Regions from separate parts of the Mus musculus genome. Here region 1 is reported to be linked to region 2. Evidence: microRNA targets listed by miRTarBase, many of them from high-throughput screens and not tested one by one. Region 2 holds a microRNA gene; the other region holds the end of a gene's coding sequence.
The links. The annotated mature microRNA mmu-miR-3086-3p reads CCCAAUGAGCCUACAGUCUAAG and lies in region 2 at 2,924-2,945, opposite strand. An mRNA with a match to its seed (bases 2 to 7 or 8) in the 3' UTR can be bound and repressed. Matches are read on the target gene's strand: a 7mer-m8 pairs with bases 2 to 8, a 7mer-A1 pairs with bases 2 to 7 and ends in A, and an 8mer does both.

Region 1 (5,383 bases), not on the chromosome of region 2:
TGCAGCATAGTTCTTGCTGGTCGAGTCGGGTGCGCACAAGAATTAGTGTGATGTTCCATGGATGTTTAAGCATCTTTCCCATTCTCCTTTCATCCTCAATCAGCATTCCCTTCCCCCAGTATACACCCATGCCATACCACTTCATTCTTCCCCATTCCATTTATGAATTTCAGTGGTTCATGAGAAATATCTTATGCTCATTAATAGGAAAAGCTGTTTCACACAGAGGTGTGACTGTAAAAGAATTTAAGTCAGTAGGCAAAATGCTTACACATGACTTAAGGGAGGTCTAGAAGTATCCTTTATCCAAAGTTTTTGCATGAGGCCTCCAAAGCTACCTTCAGAAATTTGACTCCAGTTTAATCAATCACTCTGATTCAAACACACACACACACACACACACACACACACACACAGAGTTATCACTTGAGTCGTCCTGCCTTATCTTTAGACGAGAAAAAAAAAAAAAGGCCTTGCCAAAGGGAACAAAAGCCCCATGTGAGAGGGAAAAAACTGTTGTTACAAAGTGCCCTCCTTTTGAGGAATCACCAGGTTCTTCTGTCTAAGGATTCTTTATGGATTCTTTCTGTACTGTGAACCGCATTAGTTTCAGACTTAACCTATTTCACATTGTTGTCCTGTTTACTAGAATTGTATCAGTCAGCACAGATCAAACGGGTAGTTTCTATAGAATGATGAGAATTCTCTCCACGCCTTTCCCCACATGATGTCTGGCACTGCTCTTGCCAGCCATGACATGGCTATGTGGATATGCCTGTATGGGCAGGACATACGAACAGAAGAAGTGTTGCTAGGGCTGTCACTAAAGAGGGCTATTGCTATGTTTTCTGGTTTGTTGTTTGATCTTCTTTTACCCACTCCTGGTAATTTTACTCAATGATTGCTGGTATTGTGGTTCCTTCCTCAGTGGGTAAAGCATCCAAAAACAATTTGGCATTCAGGTGGTATAAACTGGATTTTTAAAAAAAGAATCAGGAACCCAAGAACAATTTAGTCATATCAAGCAAATTTTTAGCAGCACCTTTAATTGGCCTGCAATTATCAAAAGGAATTCTTACCTTTCAGAATGACACATAACTCCTAGGTCATCTAGTCTTTACTTCTCTATAAGGTCTCTCATGCTTGCTATTCACTTTTAGCTGATTATTGCGGACAACTATTTGGGTCTTTTTAAATTTTTTAAATTTAACTTTATTTTTTATTTATTCACTTTACATCCCACTCACTGCCCCACTCCTGGTCACCTCCTCACACAATACTTTCCCCATCTCTCCTCCTCTGAGTGGGTAAGAGTCCCTCTGGGTATCCCCACCCTGGCACTTCAAGTCTCAGTGAGGCTAGGCATTTCCTCTACCCAAAGAGGCCAGTTGTAAGCATATATTTTTCCCTTTGATTTTTGCTAGTAATGTGTAGGTAGGGTTATCCTTTAAGTCATTTTCAGGGTTCCTTTAAACTTGTTTTTTCCTTTATAAAAAATAATGCAGAAATAAAGCCTTCTCTTTAATAGGGACAGGTTCATAGAGATAGTGACACTACTCAAAGTTCAAGTCCAAAATGGCTTATACTTGACAAAGTTATTTTCTGTGCTTTGCAGAACTAGATTGTCTTGCAGAAAATGACATCCTGCATCCCCAGCTGCTGCGAAGACAGGCTGATCCCAATTTCTCATTAGGACTTGAAAATTGCAGTTGTAGGTTCTGATTACAAATTGTTTCTGGACCTGTCTTGTCTGTAATCACACTCCCTTCCATAGAGTATCTGATAGAAGGACTAAAACCTAGATCTTGCCTTGATAGGGGGTGAAGGGAAGTCTTAACAACCTTACTACCTTCCCATTCGAATGTGCTGAGTTTTCAGTTGCAACTGCATTGCACACTGACTGTCCTCTGCACAAACTTACCTTCCTCATCCTTTTTAGGATGCTGTCTCTAGCAAACTTTCAGCATCTTGGTCTATTCCTAGGAAATCCAAAAAGTGATAAGAAATAATGCTAGCAATAGAATACATTAATCACATAGACGATATCAAGCACAGGACTGTCTTTCCACACATGAGTAAATTGAGGCAGAGAAACCAAATGATTTTCCCAAGGCATCGTAAGGTAGTTAGGTGAGAAAACTTGTCAAAATCCACACCTGTGGCCCAGTCAGGCCTACTATAGTATTATAGCATTTGATCTATTCCCAGTCAACCTTCATTACATGAAGATCAAACCAAGTGTTAAGAATTTGGAGTTGCATTATCAGGTGCTTTTAAAAAGTTCATCCTCTGTAGACTTCTGGCAATAAGAAGCCATTTGAAGCTTTTGATAAACTATTAGCCAAATCAGAGAAGCCTATCTGAATGAAGGATGGCATCACATTTTATTAAGAACAACAACAAAACTCAGTACCACACAGACAATATCTTACTTCAGTGGCAAATCAAATACATATGCATATGCCCATATGTAGCTCTGTGGCCAACTTTATTTTTACGTGGAACATTAGGTACCAAGTTTACAACCATCAAGCAAAACATAGTTCACAGTCCTTCAGTAAAGTTTAAATTTATTCAGTGTAATATGAGATCATATTTAACAGCTATGACAAAAAGATGTACTTTTAAAAAACCAATTCTCATCCTAACTATGGAGAAAGGCCAACTGGCCATCAGATCTATGAAGGGGATTATCAATCTCTTGAAATGATTTTTGTTTCTCTGTTGCAAAGTAAAGGGCAATGTTAACTTTGTGGTAGACAGCCTCACATATAGTGCTACTTTTTTTTTTAATTTTTTTATTACGTATTTTCCTCAATTACATTTCCAATGCTATCCCAAAAGTCCCCCATACCCTTCCCCCACTCCCCTACCCACCCACTCCCACTTTTTGGCCCTGGCGTTCCCCTGTACTCGGGCATATAAAGTTTGAGTGTCCAATGGGCCTCTCTTTCCAGTGATGGCCTACTAGGCCATCTTTTGATACATATGCAGCTAGAGTCAAGAGCTCTGGGGTACTGGTTAGTTCATAATGTTGTTGCACCTAGAGTACTACTCAGCTATTAAAAAGAATGAATTTATGAAATTCCTAGGCAAATGGTTATACCTGGAGGGCATCATCCTGAGTGAGGTAACACAATCACAAAAGAACTCAAATGATATGTACTCACTGATAAGTGGATATTAGCCCAGAAACTTAGTATACCCGAGATATAAGAGACAATTTGTAAAACACATGAAACTGAAGAAGAACATAGACCAAAGTGTGGACACTTTGCCCCTTCTTAGAATTGGAAACATATAGTGCTTCTTAATTCCCGTTACATGTCTAAACACATGGGCTGTACTGGAAATCATTTTAATACCCAGACTGTAGCTTAATAGGGTTGATATCATTAGGATAGATCAACTGGTTTTCTAAAAAGCAGAGAGTAAACTGCAAACTCAGGAGGTTTTCAATATTCAACAGTTTAGTGTTAACAATCTGAATACTTTTAGACCTCTTGCCTATCCACTCCTTTAAATCATTTCAAGATGAGTCACGACTAAGTTAATACACACAACTGGAGCAGATTAGTGCTGAGAGCTCTCACTACAGTTTGATATGAATTGAGGCAACACCTTATGGACTGGAGAACATCTAAGACATCACTGAATCTTTTAAGTTAGTTAAAATGCTTTTGAATTATAAGATAGAGTAAGGTAAGAAATCTAGATCTTTGCTCTTAGACTGGGCAAAACTTTAAAGGCTGTAAGTCCACACATCAGCATCTAGAGGCTTAAATTTACATTTTGGATAAAGCTAGTATAATAAACTTGGGTTGGCCAGCATATGCTGACATAATTCTCCTTAAATAAAAACTATACTTACATTTTTTTTTAAAGTGCTTTGTGGTTGAAACCTTTGGAATTTTTTTTTTTAATTGACAGGATTTCAGATGGGAAAGAAAAAAATACAGGCACCATTCTGGACCCACAACTCTACTAAGATATAGAACCCAGTACAGATATATAAAATCATTCAATTTAATGTCTGTTATAAAACCTAATAATTAAAAGAGGTCATGTTATCACACAGAGCCCTAATTTCATTCTGTGTTTGACTGTAACAACAGAGAAAATTTCATATGTCCTTTGGCACTTGAGAGAAAATGGTATACTATCAACCAAGACAAATATTTAACCATTTTGAAGACACAGGTAGGCTTAGAAATCTAATTCTATGATCAGACAGCCATAGAACACATTAAAATAATGCTACTTTCCTTAAATCAGCACAGAATGTTACTGACAAGGAGCAATGCTTGTCTAGATACAGTCCAGAAAAGGAAGTGCCTATTGTAGTGTGCGTCACATGGAACTAGTAATCAGTGAGGATACCTAGGGAACATTTCAGCCACTATTTTCCTCTGTACACATTGGATGCTACACAAAAGTCACAGTAAGTCAAGTTATTTTATTTCTGAAACCATTAGCTGTTTTGCATTAAAGGCAAAAGAAAAAAAAAAACAGAATCCAGAAATTATTCCTCATAAGCACTTAACTTTTTGAAATTAAGCACTCAACATTTTATTCTATCAACCAACACAAATTAGTCTAACAAACAAGATGAAACTCATTCTTATGGAAATTAGCTAGGTGATTCTTTGGACTGTTACCACTTTACAAAGACTGAAATTAAACTGAGCAGGGTTAAATCAAGTGCACTTAAATTGCCCAAACCACAGGCTGTAATTCATCCTCACTTTCCTTTACATGCTCATTGTGCTAAGGATGATCAAGCAGGAGGCCTGTGGGTGAAAACTTCAGGACTGGGGCTGTTTAAACTTGTACAATACAAAGCAGAGAAGAGCCACAGAAGTGGAAAAACCAGTGATCTTGAGCAGACCAGGCACGGAAGGCAGGTTCCTCTCTAAGAAGGTGTGGGTAATTTCAAGAGCTGGAACATCCTAAACAGATGAACACAGATCATTAATAGAAATTCTTGCTATAGTTAAAAGAAACAAAGCCTATCTGTAGTAGTATGTATTTCTATGCTAAGACAGTTGCATCTATAGTAAAAGCAGAGGCTAAATGAAGGACAGTGCAATTTTATGTGCTGTAGTTGGTCTGTAGATATGGAGTAATCAAACTTACCTTGGACTCAGGCTCTTGAACCCATATATCCTTCTTGGCAACTTTTCCTAGAGCATTCAAGACCTGAAAGAAAGTGATTACAGCATTATACTGTGACATTATATACTGTTAACAGATTCAAAATCATATTAAACATTGGTGAACCCACAGGTGGGTGGCAAAGAAATGCATACATAGCATACATAGACTATCAGTATCAAGAAATAGATGCATGAATGGATAAAGAAATTTTGTTATTCATATACAA
Region 2 (5,383 bases):
AAAAAAAAAACAAAACCAAGACGGCTAGCCATCCCATGCAGGAGGTAGAGGCAGGAAGGTCGGGACTTAAATGGCAGCCTTGTCTACATAGAGAGGGTAGCATTGGCTATATGAGAATGGAGAAGAAGGAACTGATTGCTGCCAGAACTGAAAAGTGTGATGGTCAGACAGACCTCAGATAAGAGAATCGGTATTTGGAAAAACTGTGCAAATGAACTGACCATTAAAGAATAAAACTGCAAGATGTGAGGGGATGTCAGGAAGCAAGGGTGTGTAGACCAGGGGAAATGGCATGGCAGAGATGTGGCTAGAAACCTTCTAGAAGTTACCAAAGCTATCAAGCCCTAGGCCCAAAAATACAAGGTGAAGAACGAAATCCACACTTGGCCTATCCTACTGAAGCTGCTGAGCATCAGACACAGAGGACACTTTAACCGAGATCAGACAGAAAAGAAACGCCACCTTCTGAAGGCTTTTCTCTGCAAGTCTTCAGGAAGACTGCCAGACAGAAAGGAGAACAACACATGTGTATCAAGATGTTTGTGGGGGGCCGGGCAGTGGTGGTGCATACCTTTAATCCCAGCACTTGGGAGGCCGAGGCAGGCGGATTTCTGAGTTCAAGGTCAGCCTGGTCTACAGAGTGAGTTCCAGGACAGCCAGGACTACACAGAGAAACCCTGTCTTGAAAAACCAAAAAAAAAAAAAAAAAAAAAAGCTTGTGCCCGCATGTGACAGAATGCCTGGGAACAAGGTGGACTCTGAGTATTTGCATTTCAACATAAACGAGAAGAATTAAGCAATACTGAAAAAATAAATACCTCATATCTTCATATTAAAGTCTACAAGAAGCCAGAGCAGTGGAGAGAGTGTGTGTGCTGGTGTATGTGTGTGCTTGTGTGTGTGTATATGTGTATGCATGTATGTGTATATGTTTCCGTGTGTGCATGTGTGAATATGTATGGGTTTGTGTATGAATATGTGTGTATATGTGTGGTTTTGTGTGTATGTGTGTATTTGTATGTGATATGTACGTGTTTGTATGTGTATTTATGTGTGCATGTGTGTGTTTGTATGTATATGTGTATATATGTGTGTGTATGTGTGTACATGTGTACACGTGTTTCTGTGTGTGTATACATGAGTGCTTGTGTGTATGTTGCTGTGTGTATATGTGTATGTATGTGTTTGTGTGCCCATGTATGTGAATATGTGTATATGCCTGCCTGTGTATGTGTGCTTATGTGTATATGTGTGTGTGTTTATATGTGTGTGTGTGTGTGTGTGTGTTTAAAGAAATCCAAGAGTAGTGGGCAGTGACACACACCTGTAACCCTAGACTCAGGAGATGAAGGCTGAAGGATCAGGACTTTAAGGTTATCCTATGCTATACCATGACTTCAAGGACAGCCTGGGCAAAAAAAAAGAAAGAAAGAAAGAAAGAAAGAAAGAAAGAAAGAAAGAAAGAAAGAAAGAAGAAGACGGAGAAGAAGAAAAGAGAAGAGAAGAGAAGAAAGGAAAAGGAAAAAAAGAAAAGCTAAATATTTACAAAGTTAAGCATCCACCTCAGAATTTGAATAAAGCAAAATAAATGCAAAAGTTCTCCAGGTAGAGACCTTCACAAAATGCAAAATGGCTTCCTTTTTCCTTGCAGGGTTTCTGGTGTGGAAGGTCCACCCACCCACATTGCAGGCAGCTCAAACGCTGAGTTCCAATGGTATTTTGGGCACATGGCTATTTAATTAAAGTTAAACAATAGATTCTGCTTACTAAAGACAGGTACTGCTAGTTTTCCACTTATAGCAGTGAAATATGGCTTCCTTTTAAACTGTATTTGGGAAGAAGACAGAATTCAAAGGGAAATATGAAATAAATAATACTGTGGTTTTCTGTGGCAAAAGGTTATGTTTACACTGGAAGTCATAGTGCCTGTTGTTATGCAAATCAAAGAATTTATACACAACTCAAGATCAGGCTTTACAAATACAGCTTGTAGGGCATCTGAAGTCCTAGGTGCTTACTCAGAACTCAGTAAAGGTCGGTTATTATCAAGATCATAATTAGTAATAACTCTTTAATAATTAAAACGTAAGAAACGTAATTCAGATTATGGCTCTAAAAATAGCCCTGAGATAAATGACTAACCCCGTGGAGTGAGGTAGAGCAGGCTTCACAGCTACCTCTCCGTTCCCACACTTGGCCTCTTGCTGCCCTGGATGCCACACACACATCCCCACTCTCCATGTCCCTCACCTTCACCAGCACAAGCGCCTCAATGTAGACAAACACAGGGGGCGCAAGACTGACTGCCCGGGCTTACAAAGCTGCTTCCTCCCCCCACCCCCACCCCCAACGAAAGCCTCACTTAACACAGGGCAGGAAATGAATCCCCACCCCTATGGTCGATTTTGCAATGTCCTAGCTAAGCTAAAGGGCAGAGATTTGGAGACAAGGCATCCAGTCCCCAAGAACTAAGACACTCAGTCCAGCCCACCCTCTCCTCGGAGGACGAGCAGGATCCGGAAGCAACTGAAGGGGTAGTCGCCCTGTACAGCTTCAGCAGAATCGTATTTGGCCACCAGAAAAGTGTCAATCTGTCCATTCATGCCCTCCCCCTTAAAGATGATTAGCAGTGGTAAGTACTCAGGGCCTTCGCCATGAAGACGTTTTTATTTCATTTTCCCAGGATGTGTCTGCTCTTGGTGATTCTTCTAGAGTTCCTCCCAGGAAATCCCACCGAAGTGAAACCCACCAGAGGGGAATGCTTTTCCTGTTCCCAACCTCGGCTGACAGAACTGTTTGTCTGCAGCCGGCCACCAGGCGGAGCCCCAGCTTTCTCTATGGAGCCATTTATGTCTTTTTGCAAAACATCTCTGTGGGAGTCCCTACTTCTACCAGTCTGGCTGAGGGCTTCCGCCATCCCACACTTAGACTGTAGGCTCATTGGGGTCAAGACGCTAACCCTTCCAATGGGCCTACAATCTAAGTGTAGGATGGCAGTCCAAGACTCAGGCACTCAGGCGCCTCAGGTTCTCAACTATGTGTTATGACTGGACAGGCATGCAGCTCTCTCCCAGAACCTAAGAGGCCAACTGTGGTAAACGCATGGCTCTGAGTCAAAGGTGTTTTATCACAGCAATAGAAAATTAACTAATATTCCCTGTAACAAATGGAATCCTTCAGCTCCGGCTAGGAACTGGTTTTAGTGGCAGCTTCTGAGAGGACCAGAGGGACAGCTAGCTGTCACACTTGGAAGGTGGGAGGTCCTGCCCAGCTTCAAGACAGCATCTATTACGCTGAAACTCAAAAATTGGGCTGTCTCTTTGAACTGGAATTAAAGCCATATTGTGTCTCATACTATTGTCTTTGAATAAAATCTAATCCTCCTATGAACTGACCTTGACCCAGACAGCCATTTCCTTCCGCTTGAGTTCCTGCTTAGACGGCCTCATCCAGGACTAAGCTCTTCCACCTAGGCCATGATCAGGGGGGAGAGACATAGCTAGCTGGCCAGATGGTCATTGCTGGAACTCACTGAGCCCGTGCCATCATAGGGAGTCTGCTTGCCTCCTCCTACAGCCTGGCCGAGAAGCTCGCTTTACCCTCCTAGGTTCAAAGGCATCTTCCACTACTGAATATGGACTTGACAGGCAAAACTCAGGCAGGGGTCATCTCTGTGCCTCACTGCCCCCCAATGCAAACACACTGGAGCCAAATACTCAGCTCTCAGCTCACCTTCCAGTCTGGAGTGGTCCCCAAAAATCAGTTTCTGTCAATTTAATCCACTGGACAGTAGCTTTGAGAATTAGCTTGAATATTAAATATCCCATAGAAGGCAAGAGGTATGGATTCAGATTCTACCTTTCCACATCCAGCTGGGTGATGTGAGCAGACACACACACACACACGCACGCGCACACACATACATGCATACATGCACACACACACACACTTTGTTCCTCCGCCCTTACAAGGTTTGATTTAAAGGGAGAGGAACAAGAGGCCTCTGACACAGAACACATCAGTCTCTCGGCTGTGAGAAATGCTCACACTGTCCTGAGAGTGAGACTGAGCCCCTGGCCCACCCTGGCTCTGCACCTATGTGAACACTTGTGCTTTCCTGTGTCCTGACAATGGACTGCAAGTTTCACAAGGGAGTGGCATGGTGGTCTGAATGCTTGCCTGGAGCACGGTCCCAGAACCAGCTTGCAGATGAGTTCTCTCCTTCCTTTCAGAAAGACGTGAGGACGTCCTAGAACCTGAACCACATGCTACTTGGGATCTACATCTCCTGGGAGATACAACAATGGCATGGGAAGATCTTTCATTGCTCTGGTTCGGTTCCCTCTGGGGTGTCCGTTAGGAACTCTGCTTCCTGATACAGCTCCTTCCACACACCCACCATAGGGAGGGATTAAATAGAAACCTGCTTCTCCCAGAAAATGACACACAGGAAAGCTGGCCCTGGCTTCAGTGCTAGCCAAGTGCATTTTCCCCAGTGACGAGGTGGCCTTAAGAGAGAGAGAGAGACAAAAGCTTTCTGTGGTGGCCTCAGCCTTCCTACCCACTCACCCCAGTTCTGAGAGCTGACAGCCAGCTGCTTTCCTAGACTTGTGGGACAACTCAGAGACTTCACCGTCACCGTCACCAAGGCTGTCGCCAAACCATCACAAATGGATTAGGTGTAGTGGGCTCTTCTGTCTCAGTCAGTGCCAAAGCCCCACTGAGTCCAGGGAACACAGTCTCAGCTTGGCATGAAGCCCTGGCAACCCTTATGTGGGGACTCTTTCTGGCTTTATGAAAAGCCTCCAGTGCTCATAGGTACCTGGGAACATTCCGAATTCTCTCCTTTTTTCATTTGGATGCCAACAGTTACCCTGAGGTGCCTTGCGCTCTGTCTCCCAGATAGATTCTCTCTCAGCCGGAGAAAATGGGGCAATTTCAGAGCAAGTCTCGTTGGTGACCCTGGGTTCTCTGGGCTCCATGACGCTGCCACCTTACAGGTCTCTGATCCGTGTCAGTATTTTCTCCATCCGAAAGGAAGCTCTCATCAACAGTCTTTCTAAATGCAAACAGCAAAGGTGGCATCCAAAGACAGCACCCTTACAATCTCCCACACTCAACTGCCTATGCGGGGCTGGGCGAGATGCGAGGCAGAAGACAAGCATGCCGCCGAGGACGCGACCCGCCTGCAATCTGTTTTGACTTTTTCTCTCTGTTGCAGAAGCCTATGATTCGCAGTTAAATTTGACCAAATAAACAAGCTCCATTTTCAGGTTCTGCAAAACCTACAATTCTGGGAAGGCTGATGTGGTTGACACTAAATTGATTTCAACGCATCCCATTTCTGGTCTAATGCTGGGCTCCTTTGAGCAAGAACAAACGT

Region 1: miRTarBase lists Maoa as a target of mmu-miR-3086-3p. Seed matches in the 3' UTR shown: 7mer-A1 at 2,936-2,942 and 7mer-A1 at 2,826-2,832.

What each region holds. Positions count from the first base shown.
Region 1 is chrX:16,684,798-16,690,180 of GRCm38, reverse strand. It overlaps Maoa (monoamine oxidase A), which reads right to left. Exons shown (of 15, transcript NM_173740.3): 14 at 5,137-5,199; 15 at 2,369-4,949. The coding sequence ends at 4,806. Among named protein-coding and RNA genes, the nearest start is that of Maoa, 68 kb to the right of the region's middle.
Region 2 is chr19:58,908,763-58,914,145 of GRCm38, forward strand. Mir3086 (microRNA 3086) reads right to left here and starts at 2,997; the gene lies at 2,911-2,997. It also overlaps a transcript of Hspa12a not described here.